4 linked regions of the Saccharomyces cerevisiae S288C genome follow. The gene in region 2 interacts genetically with the main gene of each other region. Each region holds a gene or a part of one and is shown on either strand. Other genes may lie near its edges.

Region 1 (2,715 bases), on a different chromosome or scaffold from region 2:
TTGTCATTCGTTAGCTTGGTAAAAACTTCGTTTGGCTTATTGGAGATAAATCTCTTGGTGGCGGCGACGGTGATACATTTAATTGCACCCACTCTTTTCGAAGCTCCTACTACACACCTTCTGGAATGGCCAGCAACAGTGTACCTAATCATGCTTGGTCTTCGTATTGCTGTCTTGCTTGCTAAACAGCTTTTGCTACTTCTTCTTCGCTGATGAGAAAAGGGAGTCTACTAAATACAGTTCGGCTTAAAGTGTCGCTGGTCAGCAATCGGCCCGAAAATACATTGAACATTTGAAATTACCATGTTTCAAAACGAATATTTATTATAATTATTACTAGTAAAAGTTATACATAAGAAGGGAATAATACAAAGAAACGGGAAACAGCTAAATGTAGTATATAGCCGAAAGATGTGGACATATCCCAACAAATCGTCTTATGAGATCCTTTTTTTGTTTTATATTTTTTTTTTTTAGCGGGTATAAACGTATCATTTATATATTTTATTCTTTCCTTTAACTCTCAAAATTTGAGCAATTAGGTTACTGTGGTTCACGTGATTCAAGTGTGCACATTGCTGCTATGCTTTGTAGTATTATCCATAGAGTTTAGGGAGGGGGAATGGTCGGAGAGTGGGTAATTTGCATTGTCTAATGGAGCAGAATCAGCGTTACTTTTCTGGAAATAAAACTGGTCCGATAACGAAGTAGTAGAATCAGAGGTGAGATTGGAGTTGGAAGTGGTGTTGAGTTTGTAAAACTTTTCGGTTTGATCATGCGATACCTTGTATTTGTCATCCTTGTCATTCTTCTTTTTTTTGTTCTTCTTTTTGTTCTTAGGGTCTACCATATTGCTAGTCTTCGGGGTAGGAGACTTTGTTCCATTATTGTGATCATATTGTTTTCGAACCATGGAATTCAATAAATTAAGTGAATATTTCGGAATCCCATCTCTTTTGACATTAATCCCCTGAATACCATCCTTCGTGGCAATCATGGAGGCACCTGATGTGATGGAGCAACCTGAGTTCGTTCTCGTTATCCTATCTTCACCAGAGGCAATATTGGAAGGGCTCATTGATCTCTGATCTAAGTCCAGGTTAGTAGACCTGTTATTAGTGTAAATGGACTGATCATAGAGAGAGATGGCAGATGCAACATCTTTTGAGCTTATTGAATGTGATGAATCAGGCATTATTAACTATTCGCTTCCTTTTCTTATCTCAGCAGTTTGTGTTTTTTATTCTTATTGTTATTATCCCTTTTAACTATATATGCATAAGCTAAGTTAAATATTAAAATATTTATATATAAACGTTACAGGGCGTGTGAACACATTTGAAAAAATGCTGGAAGGTAATGGTAGATATAAGAATTGGAATAACAGGTTGATAGAGAATCGCCAAGCTAGAGAGTTCTGACAAGCGGCAAGGGGGAAGGATGAGACGCAGATACGAAAGCCGCACCATTAAACCGTAAAGAGAGAAAAATAAAGAATGACTTATTTCTCGGAAAGGCCAAATGCAATTATGCAACACGCACACATTCACACTCACACTCACACATAAACTTTGACTGAAACCAAAACTGTTGTGAGTAATAGCCTTTCTTGTTCATAAAATAGTACAAGATACAGTAAATATATATCAACTCACCTGGTATAGGGATCACTTACTGCACTGCAAAAGTGGATCGTTTGCGCAAGAAACTCCACCAATTCTAAAGAATATAATAGAAAAAGCTAATAGGAAAAGTGGTCATTTTCTGTTGATATGTTACATAGGATAAACCCAGTACGGTTTTCTATGCAATCTTGCCAAAGATACTTCTCGAAGTTGGTATCGCCATTGGAACAGCATAAAAGTAATACTTTTACTAATAGAGTCAGAATCCCCATTGAGGCAGGCCAACCACTGCATGAGACAAGGCCGTTCCTTATAAAGTCGGGCGAGTTGACACCAGGCATTTCAGCCTTGGAATACTATGAAAGAAGAATTAGGTTGGCGGAAACATTGCCTCCCAAAAGTTGTGTGATTTTAGCTGGTAACGATATCCAATTTGCATCTGGAGCAGTATTTTATCCGTTCCAACAGGAAAATGACCTGTTTTATCTTAGTGGTTGGAATGAACCTAATTCGGTCATGATTTTAGAAAAGCCAACGGATAGTTTAAGTGATACAATTTTCCACATGCTGGTTCCGCCAAAGGATGCGTTTGCTGAAAAGTGGGAAGGATTTAGGTCTGGGGTTTATGGTGTTCAAGAAATTTTCAATGCCGATGAATCTGCTTCCATTAACGATTTGTCTAAATATTTGCCCAAAATAATTAACAGGAATGATTTCATCTATTTTGATATGCTATCAACTTCTAATCCCAGTTCGTCCAATTTTAAACACATCAAGAGCCTGTTAGATGGCAGTGGGAATAGCAATCGATCATTGAATTCCATTGCGAATAAGACCATCAAACCCATCAGTAAAAGAATTGCAGAGTTCCGTAAGATCAAGTCCCCTCAAGAGTTGAGAATTATGAGGAGAGCTGGCCAAATATCAGGAAGATCGTTCAATCAAGCCTTTGCTAAAAGATTTAGGAATGAGAGAACTTTAGATTCCTTTCTTCATTACAAGTTTATATCCGGTGGTTGCGATAAGGACGCATATATCCCCGTGGTCGCTACTGGTTCGAATTCTTTGTGTATCCATTACACAAGAAACG
Region 2 (3,223 bases):
GCGTTCTTGAGAGGTAAAATGGTAGAAAGATCAGGTACCAAACAAAATATTGCGATGTGCACACTTTATTATATGTCACAAATGCGAACGTCTGCACAAATAAAACCCTCAATAGGTTATCGAATGTGGGATTCCACCATTCAAGACATCCAGTTACTAAAACAAGCAGCAATTGAGGCACAAATGCGTACCTTGAGAGATTGGACTCACCATTTTCCTTATTTGCAGAATCTAAATACAATAGCATGTTCCACACTGAAAAATTGTGTCTGTGATCCGTTCTGTATAAGTGGTACAAGTATGCCTGATCCAGAAACTCGTATCCGTATATCTTGTACATTGCCCAACCACATCCAAGCAAAGTTGTTAGAGTACTCAAACCGATATTGAGTAGCGATGTAAGTTGTGTTCGTGGACCCTGGTTTCTTTTATTGTAGTATATAAAAATTGCTATTGGGATACAATATATGATTGGATATATTTTGAAATGGATAGAAAGACCATATAAGATTCCAGCTAGGGTGTATCTACTCTTTTGTAGAAAAAAAAGCGTGAACATGATCAAACAGCAAAGCACGCTTTCAGCGTTTCCCCTTGTACTGATGGTGATAACCATCGGATTCAATAGCCAAATGCTTTCCAATATTAAAGCTCTTTTTCTGGAGATGGCCTGGTTCAAAAGCTTCATTATAATGAGCCCAGTAACCAAATCGAAAATAACAAATATGACCTTCCCCAAATGAAACCATCCAAAATAATGATTAGGCACTAGCAGCCAACTTAGTAGCGGTGTGTAACGATATGTATCCCTTGCATAAGGTGATTTGCCTTCGTATACATATTTAGCAGCATCATGAAACACAAAATAGTCGATATCAGTGTACCTCACTTTGAAATTAGCGTCCTGGTAAATGCCAAAAAGAAAAAATCCGACTCTTACCAAGAATGACAGTACAGTCAAGCCCCATTCTTCGCCAGTCATCTTTCAACTTTATCACCTTTTACCTTGCTTGTCAGTTGTTGACTTTTTTATGTATATATATTGTGTTTTTTTTTGTCAAGTTCTTACCAACTATTAAAGTTTCTTTTATTATTATCGGAGCCTGTAAAAGAGCTCCACATGTTTCGGTTTACCTCTTGAAAATTGATTGCGAACATAACGAGTCAAGCATGGCAGCAGGTGGTGAACTTAGTTATGAAGAGTTGCTGGATCACATTCTGAATAACAAGCCTATACCTAATATTGTGGAGGTGCCCAATGTTACGCTGGATGAGGGTTTAGCTAGTACTCCTTCATTGAGGCCAAGACCTAGGCCTTGGGAAGGTCAGCTGCAGCATCAATCTCATCAAGGATCATTAGACAAACCCAATATATCTCTGGACATTGATCAAGAAAGCCTAGAAGGCATGACCTCATTAACAAGGCTGTCTGAATGTTACGATATACAGTCTAAGTTACAGATTAATGACAGTGACAACGATAATGATGACAATAACAATGATAACAATAAAGGCGATGGCAATGATGACGACAATAATACAGTAACAGCAAATCCAACAGCTAGGTAAATTATTCACCCAACAGGTATGTAAAAAAATGCATTTATATATTTATATATAGTACTATTATCTTCCCTTTTCTACTTAAATTTTATATCGCTCATTCATACTTAATCATAGACCTGCCCTTTTTGCGTTTAAAAGAATACAAAGGCACATGCATCTCCTTCTTTTGTCTGCATAATGTTTCTAACAAAGTTAGTGCGATATCTGTCGTTTTATCCTTTCCTTTTTATTAATTTCACAGTCTGATCTTTTATTGTGATTAGATAAGCGGCGTTGGTTTTAATTTCACGCTAGTTAAGTCAAAGCAGAATAGAGAATAGCTCTACAAGAAAAAGGACAAATAAGGTAACTGTGATAGCATATAAAGGCGTATGAGTGAAACACGAGAATCTAATGAAAGTACAGTTTCGTCTTTACAAACCAAACTTTTGCTCAATGACGGAATATCCGAAAACAACAAGAAAAATGTTATACTGCTGAATCAAATAGTGCCGTTTATTCTGAATACTTCACATTATATGACGGATCTAATGTATGTCTTGTATTATCTGGCTCAAAAGCAGGAAGACGAAGTATTAAACCATTCTGGCACATTTATTTCACACAAAAAAGAACTCCTTGCACTAAAGAGTGATATTTGTGAACTAATTTACGATTTAAGGACAGGATTCCGCTTATTATTGGATAGTTGTGAGTTAGATCACTTTGAAACTCCTGGAAAATGCCGGCATTTGATCGAGAAGGTTCTAGTCACCTCCATTTATGGAGTGAACAGGTATATTTTCCAGGAATTAAACAGATTAAATGTCGATTTTAAAGATGAATTTATATTACAAATGCAAAATTGTTTATCAGGATTCGTTAATCTCTACAAATTTTTGAACAAGATCCCTATGAGTAAACAACAGTCACAGATGAACGATTTACAGATGAAGATCTTAGTTAATGTGTTACAGAATGAATTGTTACCCATTTGGAAGTTTCAGTTAGATCTTTTGAATTGTAAACTATTTAACGAGCTCTCTAAGGATAAGGGCCTGATTAATATATATAGAAAAGCTACGAACGATAGTGTTATTGATGTTAGCAAGGGTGAACCATTCATCAGATATGTTAATTGGCTAAAGGACCAAATTATTGGTGAAATGACGGTTTAATGCAAGTAATGTAATATAATACAAGAGTATAAAAATAAGGTTCTACACAAACATCTATAAATGTATAGATTATACTAGTTTGGTTGGCTTCTTAGCGTTTCTCTCATCTACGTAAGATGAACGCCATGTGTACACTTTTCACATTTTAAATACATCTCGCGTGGAGGAGGGATAATAGAAACTATTTAGAGAAAAAAACGAGGCAGATTAAACGAAGTTACTCCAGGATTGGTCAAGCAATACTCAAACAAGATCAACGTCACGTCATAGTCAACTTCAATGTCTGAGATATTACAAGATGTACAAAGGAAACTGGTTTTTCCAATAGATTTTCCCAGCCAACGGAAAACAGAAAAATTTCAACAGCTATCGCTCATGATCGGAGCTTTGGTAGCGTGTATATTGGGATTTGCACAACAGTCCCTGAAAGTTTTACTGACTGCGTATGGCATTAGTTGTGTGATTACTTTAATATGTGTTTTGCCAGCTTACCCATGGTA
Region 3 (2,673 bases), on a different chromosome or scaffold from region 2:
GAAACAAGGCTTGATGATAGTCAGTAATCTTCCTCTGGACCTCTTCGCCGAGTTCTTCGAGAAGTTCCCAATAAGGTAATCGAAACGAGAGAAAAAAAGACGAGCAAAAAATTTTCTCAATTTGCCTACTTTTAAGGGTTCGGAGAGGAAGGTTTATTTGTAAATCATGACATTATTGGGCGAAGCGTAAGTGGCTTTGAAGAAGAGGAATAGCTACTCGACCAAAACTTGAAGATACTATCATACCCAACTTGGAGCGCTCAGTGACTAGTCTGCCTTTAGTGCTGTCCTGCCTCCCGTCATGCCAAGAGCCGTACTCTCCCCTTAAGGGCTGCTATTTTTTTCCGGTAGGTGTTCGGAATCCCCTTTCGAGAAAAGTAATTAATCCGAGAATTCCTTATATTTCTTACCAGAAATAGTAAGCGAAAAGGACGTTGAACTATAGCAGATCAGCGCGTCTTCATAATCCCAGAAGGAGGCGGGAAGAACAACCCCCCCCATATAGTTTTACTGGTCTCCTTTCAATCTGTTTGTTCTGAACCTACTTTCATTCTTTTGGCAGATATATGTTGCAACACGTACATAGAGTGAGTTTACTTCTTTCAGCTTGGAGAAGCATGAGAGGTTAGGTTGATTGATGCTAAACAAAAAAATTCCGCCCTGATGGTGAAAAAAGATAACGGGGCGAGCTGGGAATTGAACCCAGGGCCTCTCGCATGCTTTGTCTTCCTGTTTAGGCAGGAAGTCGCCCAAAGCGAGAATCATACCACTAGACCACACGCCCGATTATTTCGTGTGGTTGTTGTATTACGGGCTCGAGTAATACCGGAGTGTCTTGACAATCCTAATATAAACAGTCTTAGGGAAGTAACCAGTTGTCAAAACGGTTTATCAGATTAATTCACGGAATGTTACTTATCTTATATATTATATAAAATATGAATCATACTAAGTGGTGGAAGCGCGGAATCTCGGATCTAAACTAATTGTTCAGGCATTTATACTTTGGGTAGTTCAGCTAGGGAAGGTCGGGTTTTGTCTCATGTTGTTCGTTTTGTTATAAGGTTGTTTCATATGTGTTTTATGAACGTTCAGGGTGACGTATTGTCATACTGACATATCTCATTTTGAGATACAACAGTGGTTGTGTCATGAAGTTAGTCAATACTAGCCGTCTTAACAATATTAATACCTGTCAGAAGAGCAGCTTGATTGACGGAATGTTACTTATCCCATATAATCTATATAGGATCTAAATCTGACTAAAGGGTGGAAGCATAGATCTTCGGAGCTAAACTGATTGCTCAACTATTTATACGTTTAGGTTCATCAAGGCAACCGGGGCTTTGAAAATACTTAATCTTGTTTTTTTCGCAACAACTGTTTCATACGTGTTTCATACGTCTTGTACGTTTAGGTTGATGAATCTGGTGATGCAGGGGTATTTCATTTTGAAGTGTAGTAGAGGTCTTCTAATGAAAACTCGGCAGGGCCCTAAGCTCAAACTCTACCTCATCTACGTTGACCCTTTTTACCTTCTAGATGCCATCAGTTGTTAATAGTAGTAATGGAATACGATTTGCCAATCAATCTTACAATCGCATATAATTCGTCACTGTTGAATATCTGCGACGTACACCATCTAATCACTTCGCTTAGTCGATATAACCATTTGTTTGAAAAGATGAATTGATTCTAATCTTGCCTCTCTCGGGTTATGTTATTATTATTTTTACGTTTTGGCACGTGAATCTTCAGTAATTGATTGCACGCTTGATAAACGAAAAAAACATAAACAAATAAGGTAAGACTGCATTGTAAATCCTAGGAATGAGAAAGAACAGAGAAGCTAACTGCAATTATGAATGGTGTCTGTATACAATTAAATACTAATGTTGACGGAGAAAGAGAATAAAAGACAAGAATTAACTAAATATTGAAGAAGAGTAAAATACACAATAGAAAAGAATGACTCCTTTTCCCAACACTTGTAGGAGTGTTCAAACAGTTTCTTCATCAAATACAGTTTCGATGGGTTTTTCCATCAATGATGCATGTCCGAAAACGCTGACGGCAGAAGCACCGATCAACCATAGCAAAGTTGAGATTGGCGAAGCTAAGAAACCTATTGGCACAGCAACACAAACCAGTCCGGTGTATAGTTGGTTGGTCTTGAAAGAACCAAATGGAGTTACGAGCTCCTCACCCTTTAGTTTGTTTATACCAACAATACCAGCTACGACTAGAACAATAACAAAGAGTAGCAACAAGTTTGTTAATAATGTGTAAATGCTCAAACAACCAATAATCAAACCATAGTTACTGGAAAAGTACTTCAGGTTATACGCCACTCTGGATTGAACTTCCCCAAAGTTTTGAGGTTTGGAAATTTTCTTGAAATTGAAAAATTCTTGCGGGGTGCGAAGGGTTGCTAATTTAGATTGCAAGGATTGGAACTCGCTCTTAATATTTTCCATGGAGAAGTTTTGAGTGAAACGTGAAACTTGCTATAGAAATATAGAAAAAAGGTTAACGCGTTAGTATAGTTTTTCAATGATGCAAATGTGTTTACAATTTAGAACTTACGGCTAAAGCTCCTAACTGATTCATTATTGGAGTATTTGATGTTATTTTATGCGTATTTGACGGCTGATAGTTCCAAACTCAGTGTTC
Region 4 (5,032 bases), on a different chromosome or scaffold from region 2:
AGGCGATATGCAAGAGCTAAACTAGAGGAAAAGCTACGAATATCAAGAGAACGAAAGCCATACTTACACGAATCTCGACATAAACATGCGATGCGAAGACCTCGTGGTGAAGGTGGGAGGTTCTTGACAGCCGCTGAGATCAAAGCCATGAAATCGAAGAAAAGTGGGGCTAGCGATGATCCTGACGATAGTCATGAGGATAAAAAAATCACTACTAAAATAATACAAGAACAGCCGCATGCTACTTCCACCGCAGCTGCAGCAGACAAAAAAACATAATTTTGTAATATTCCAATGTTAATATCATTCCTAAAAGAACTAAAAGTGCCCTCTTATACCACATGGTATCCATATGGCCTATTTAATCTGAATCAATATGTATATGTACTTTTACCAATCTCGTTTCGTTTCGTTTCGTTTCATTTCTAACAGACCTATGTACTCCGCTGGAAAAGAAACCATATTGCGATCGTATTTACGTGCTTTTCTTTTTTCATTTTTGCTTACTCTATCTACATATAAACAGCTATTCAAAAGAGCTCCATTTTCATCTATATATAATTCTCTACACCATGTTAATTACCAACTAATAATTGATTTAATTTTACTTGATTTTCTTGGGTCAATTGAGGCAAAATGGTATTTAAAAATGTATTCCCAGAGATAGCATTATATTTGTTTAGTGCTTCAGCAACATATAATCTCACACCATTATTGACATCGATTTCAGGCAAAGGATCGAATGGTTTTTCGCTAATACTAACCAACTTACTGAAATGAGAACCAAACGTGGAGATTTCCTCCAAGTTATCTAAATCAACATAATCGTTTTTCAAGTTTGCAATACTTTGTGATGATGCTGTCTCTATAATGGAATTCATTGTGCTTGAAATCAAAGTTGGATATTTGCTTTGGAAAAATTGGCCGTTTATAACCATGTTCAAAACACCAATTAATGCAATTTTACGATCTAGCAGGTTACCAATAGTAGGTAATGTGGTAATAATAAAATTACCCCATATTTGTTGAAAAAGCCCATCTTGCACTTCGTCAATAAAGTGGATCAAAAAATCAGAGCCTAATTTATTAGATATCAAACCAAAAAATACCGTTAATTTTTTAACATACCTTTCTGTTTTAGAGTTCTGTAATCTTTGTAATAATAAAACTGCGATTTGTTTAATATATGGTCTCAAGCGGTTCATGTCGATTAGAAGCATGATGTGCTCTAATAAGTCAAACCCATGAACTTCATAAGCCTTTGATGCGATCAATCTTTGAAAAATACCTAAAACAGGGACTAGATCGGGGAAGATCGATGAATCTGTCTTTATAAAACTCTTTAGTAGCCTTGTCACGGCAGGAATATTACCTTTCAATTCCCATACATTTGGTGCTAATAAAGGTTGTGCCAACGGCTTGATACTTTCTGGAATTGTTGCAGACTGCTCAACAACAAATGCGATGATTTGGAACACATATGGAATGAATTCTTGAATATCCTCGGAGAAAACCGTTAAAAATGTTGGCATCATAGAATCTACAAGTAGTGGTAAGTTTTGTCTTTGAGTGTAATTCAAGATGGCACCAATAGATTCAAAAGTGTAATGAGTAAATCTTGGATTTGATGGGTTCTTTGCCATTATCGTTACAATTTCAATAAATTGTGCCAACAACTGAGGAAATAAAGGTTGAATGGAATCTTCTGACGTCTGCAAAACTCTAAAGATTGATCTCATTAAAAATTCGTTTTCAGCTAGTTTTTCAGGGGAGCTGCCATGCTTCAAGATTAATGCAATAAGATTTTTCAAAAGAATTTCTGTACTATTCGAAATATCTTCCTTATGAAAAATAAAAGCAGGAGACGTATTTGATTCTCTAATAGTCAAAATTTTTTCAATAGTAATGGCAGCATACGTGTAGACAACATATTCATCTGTTTGTAAGAAGGTGGCCAAAATGGGCATTAGTTCAATCAACTGAGCTTTGGTCAACTGATTTCTGAAAGTGTAGATATATTTTATGGCATCCACTCTCAAAATAATATGAGGAATATTGTTGGAAGTAAGGTCCGGGGCAATTTCCTTGGTGAAAAAATCTACAACATTTAGTAAGTTGTTTGTGGATGAAACACCGGCATTGGTAATATTCCCATTAATGGCCAATGCAGTGAATAGATAAATATAAAGATCTTTAAATTTCCAATTTTTGGATGGATCACTCATGTACTGGTCAACGAACCCTTTCATATGCGCCAAAAAAATATTTGTGACTAACACTTCATTTTTTTCCTTCAATTCCTTCAAGAAATCAGTACATGCCCTTCTTCTAGTGTCGGTATCTGAACCTTCCAGATCTCTACGGATATATTCAATTGGATCGTCTTCAAAAAGTTCAACATCTTCCTCACGTAGTGTAACATTTGGCAGAATGATTTGTTCTGTGATATTATTCATGGCAGATTCGTTGTTGAATATTTCAAAGTATTTTGGAATACGTGTTACTGCAGTCAAAAATGACAAGGACTTGGATACTAAGATGTCGTATTTAGGTTGGTTTGAAATTGAGGTCAGAAGATTCCAAGTTATTTGTATGAATTCATTGATCATAGGTCCAAAGACATCTTCATATCTTGTTGTGTACAATTGAACCAGCTCCTGGATAGAGGACTTTACTTTTATTAGGACAGACGCATGTTCAGTTTCGTCAGGGTCTTCCAATAAAGGATTAGAATATGACAAATACTTATGGAAGATACCCATACCCACTTGAATGTTATCCTCAAAAAACTCTGGTATATCTTGACAATTAAAATCGTAGTATAGTTTAATTAATACTAGCAATACATCAAATAAAATATTTAGCGATGCCTTGTTATTTTCATTCGCTGTTATCTGTTCATCGACCGTTTTCAATAAGTTCAAAAATGGAGCAGTAAACACGTCAAGAACCAATTTAATCTCCAAAAAAAGTTCATCTGATCTAAATAAAGGTCTCCATCTTTTAAAAATAGAATGTGCCACTGTAAGGACACCTTTATTCGTCACCATATCATCATTACTCAATCTGGAAGCTAAATCACTCAAAAGTGTAGGCCACCTATCAGGAAAATCAGAGTCAGCAATACTGGAAATTGCCTCTCCTATTTGGACCTGCAAATTATTTGGTAGACTGATCATTAAAGGAACGATTTCCTTTTTGATCAGTTCTACGTTGTTAGCCGGCAGCAAATGATTACCATTTTCATCTACCCACTTGCGCTTGATGAAATTTTTGAAGAACAAAGCACCTGCTAATCTGGTGGATAACGGCAGGTTTGTGGAAGCAATAACGTGCAATAAAGTTAAACCGAATCCATCTTGCGTCTCCAACTGCCTCAAATTTCTTTCCGAAGTTTTAGCGGTAGAAGCAATAACTGATTCGGCCAGAAATTTAGCTACGGTTTCCAAATCGGACATCCTACTATTTTCTCTTCTACAATTGAGTAGCAATAAACAGAGCGGGTCCTCTTTGCCACTTTTTGATCTTGTGTTTATACTACTTTCAACTTTTTTTTTATTCCATAATCCCTGCAATTGAAGTGAAAAAAAAAAAGCAAAAGGCAGGGTAATAGCAAGGAAGAAAATATCATAAACGGCATATTATTAACGTAATATAGCATCCTGGAAGACATTGTTAGTTTCTGGGAGGGTCTGTGCCCACTCATGGGTATCTTGATGTGGCTCATTAGATGGAACATATAGCCTTATGCCTCTCAGATGTGTATCTTTTCCGTTTTCATGGTTGACTGGAAACAAAAGCCTGATGAATTGACATTTCAGCAGCTGGTCGTCCTCCCTATTATCTAGAAACCTTAGTGCCACCCAGCCATTCACATTTCTCACTTCAAGCATCTTATAAAACCTCGCATCAGAAGGACTATGCCCCGCGTAAACTTTCACTAAGCTTGGAGCATAGGACTCGTCCGCAATCATCGAAAAGAATATTGCCATGACACAGATGTCCATTCTCTTACTAAACATAATGTCCAATTGGTGTGGTTGCCCTCCATCGCTCTGCCAAAACGTATCGTAGTTATCATCTAGAGCAAAGTCCACAGGATTCCCCAACTTAAAAGAAGAAGGCTTCCAAAGCGCTAAATGTGTCACGTTGATCATCCTTGCCGAATCCAATATTTCAATACCTTGGTGGAACATATGTTGCAAGTTCTCCGGTGTAGGATTCTGATACTGAATCTCTTCTTGGAACCCATTCACGTAGAGATCTTTGGTTGCCGCATCCACAATCCTGTCATCCAACACCAACACTGAAGGTTTATTATGGCAACTCTTAACAGGTTTGATAAGCTCTGAGGGTGCTAAATGGTCCAAGACTTTGTTTATTCCAATCGGGTCCATTATCTGACTTCTAAATCTCGTATTATTTTTGCCACCTTCTGTGGTCAGTTTATTTAACACTTTCTTTCTTTTATATAGACGGCGCTTATTTTGCCGCATTTTTTCTACTCTAACTACTTTACATCTGATATCTCCACGGCTTATGTATATAAGCTACAAAAGGGCTTCTGAAAGAACTTTACGTTCACTGTCGGATAGAGTCTCGTAAATACAATGGAAGCCACTCACATCTTTGCTTGCAACCTCTTTAAAGAATCTTACCAGTAGCTGAACAACAGATTCCTTCACGTCCATGAGTCCCGTTATATCGTCTGAATCGTCGTCTGCTTCTTCATCGACATCATCATCAATATATTCTTTCAACTTATCGTAATCGAGTACATCATCTACATCTTCCCAATCATCATTGTCGTCATCTTTATTAGCATTTACCACTTCTTGCTTAATATCGCTTGTGATCAATTGTTCTGGATTCGGTTGTTTACTTTGGAAGCTTAACTCAGAAACAAACAATTTAATGATCTTGGTATAAAGTGGAACTTGTACATACCTGTCTGGCATTTTCTTAGCCATTGATCTTGTAATGATCAGGTCCCCTTCGTATGGTATCAAGTTACCATTGACAACCACTTTCT

What was found.
Region 1: mutations in CAL4 (region 2) and YER079W together harm fitness more than expected from each alone (negative genetic interaction), as found in Saccharomyces cerevisiae (one large-scale study listed by BioGRID).
Region 3: mutations in CAL4 (region 2) and YNL042W-B together harm fitness more than expected from each alone (negative genetic interaction), as found in Saccharomyces cerevisiae (one large-scale study listed by BioGRID).
Region 4: mutations in CAL4 (region 2) and CSE1 together harm fitness more than expected from each alone (negative genetic interaction), as found in Saccharomyces cerevisiae (one large-scale study listed by BioGRID).

The regions. Positions count from the first base shown.
Region 1 is NC_001137.3:317,400-320,114, reverse strand, and holds YER079W (uncharacterized protein), read right to left. Parts: upstream 1,196-2,715; coding exon 563-1,195; downstream 1-562. Other genes in the region: AIM9 (Aim9p), read right to left, coding at 1-152; YER078W-A (uncharacterized protein), read right to left, coding at 1,305-1,469; ICP55 (aminopeptidase), read left to right, coding at 1,773-2,715.
Region 2 is NC_001142.9:458,141-461,363, reverse strand, and holds CAL4 (Cal4p), read left to right. Parts: upstream 1-1,937; coding exon 1,938-2,723; downstream 2,724-3,223. Other genes in the region: GPI14 (glycosylphosphatidylinositol-alpha 1,4 mannosyltransferase I), read right to left, coding at 1-982; YJR012C (uncharacterized protein), read left to right, coding at 1,171-1,569; signal peptidase complex subunit SPC1, read left to right, coding at 3,003-3,223.
Region 3 is NC_001146.8:545,205-547,877, reverse strand, and holds YNL042W-B (uncharacterized protein), read right to left. Parts: upstream 766-2,673; coding exon 508-765; downstream 1-507. Other genes in the region: YIP3 (Yip3p), read right to left, coding at 2,001-2,507, 2,587-2,610.
Region 4 is NC_001139.9:47,978-53,009, reverse strand, and holds CSE1 (importin-alpha export receptor), read right to left. Parts: upstream 3,459-5,032; coding exon 576-3,458; downstream 1-575. Other genes in the region: transcription activator HAP2, read left to right, coding at 1-279; anaphase promoting complex subunit DOC1, read right to left, coding at 3,645-4,397; karyopherin KAP114, read right to left, coding at 4,551-5,032. UniProt on the Saccharomyces cerevisiae protein: Export receptor for importin alpha (SRP1). Mediates importin-alpha re-export from the nucleus to the cytoplasm after import substrates have been released into the nucleoplasm.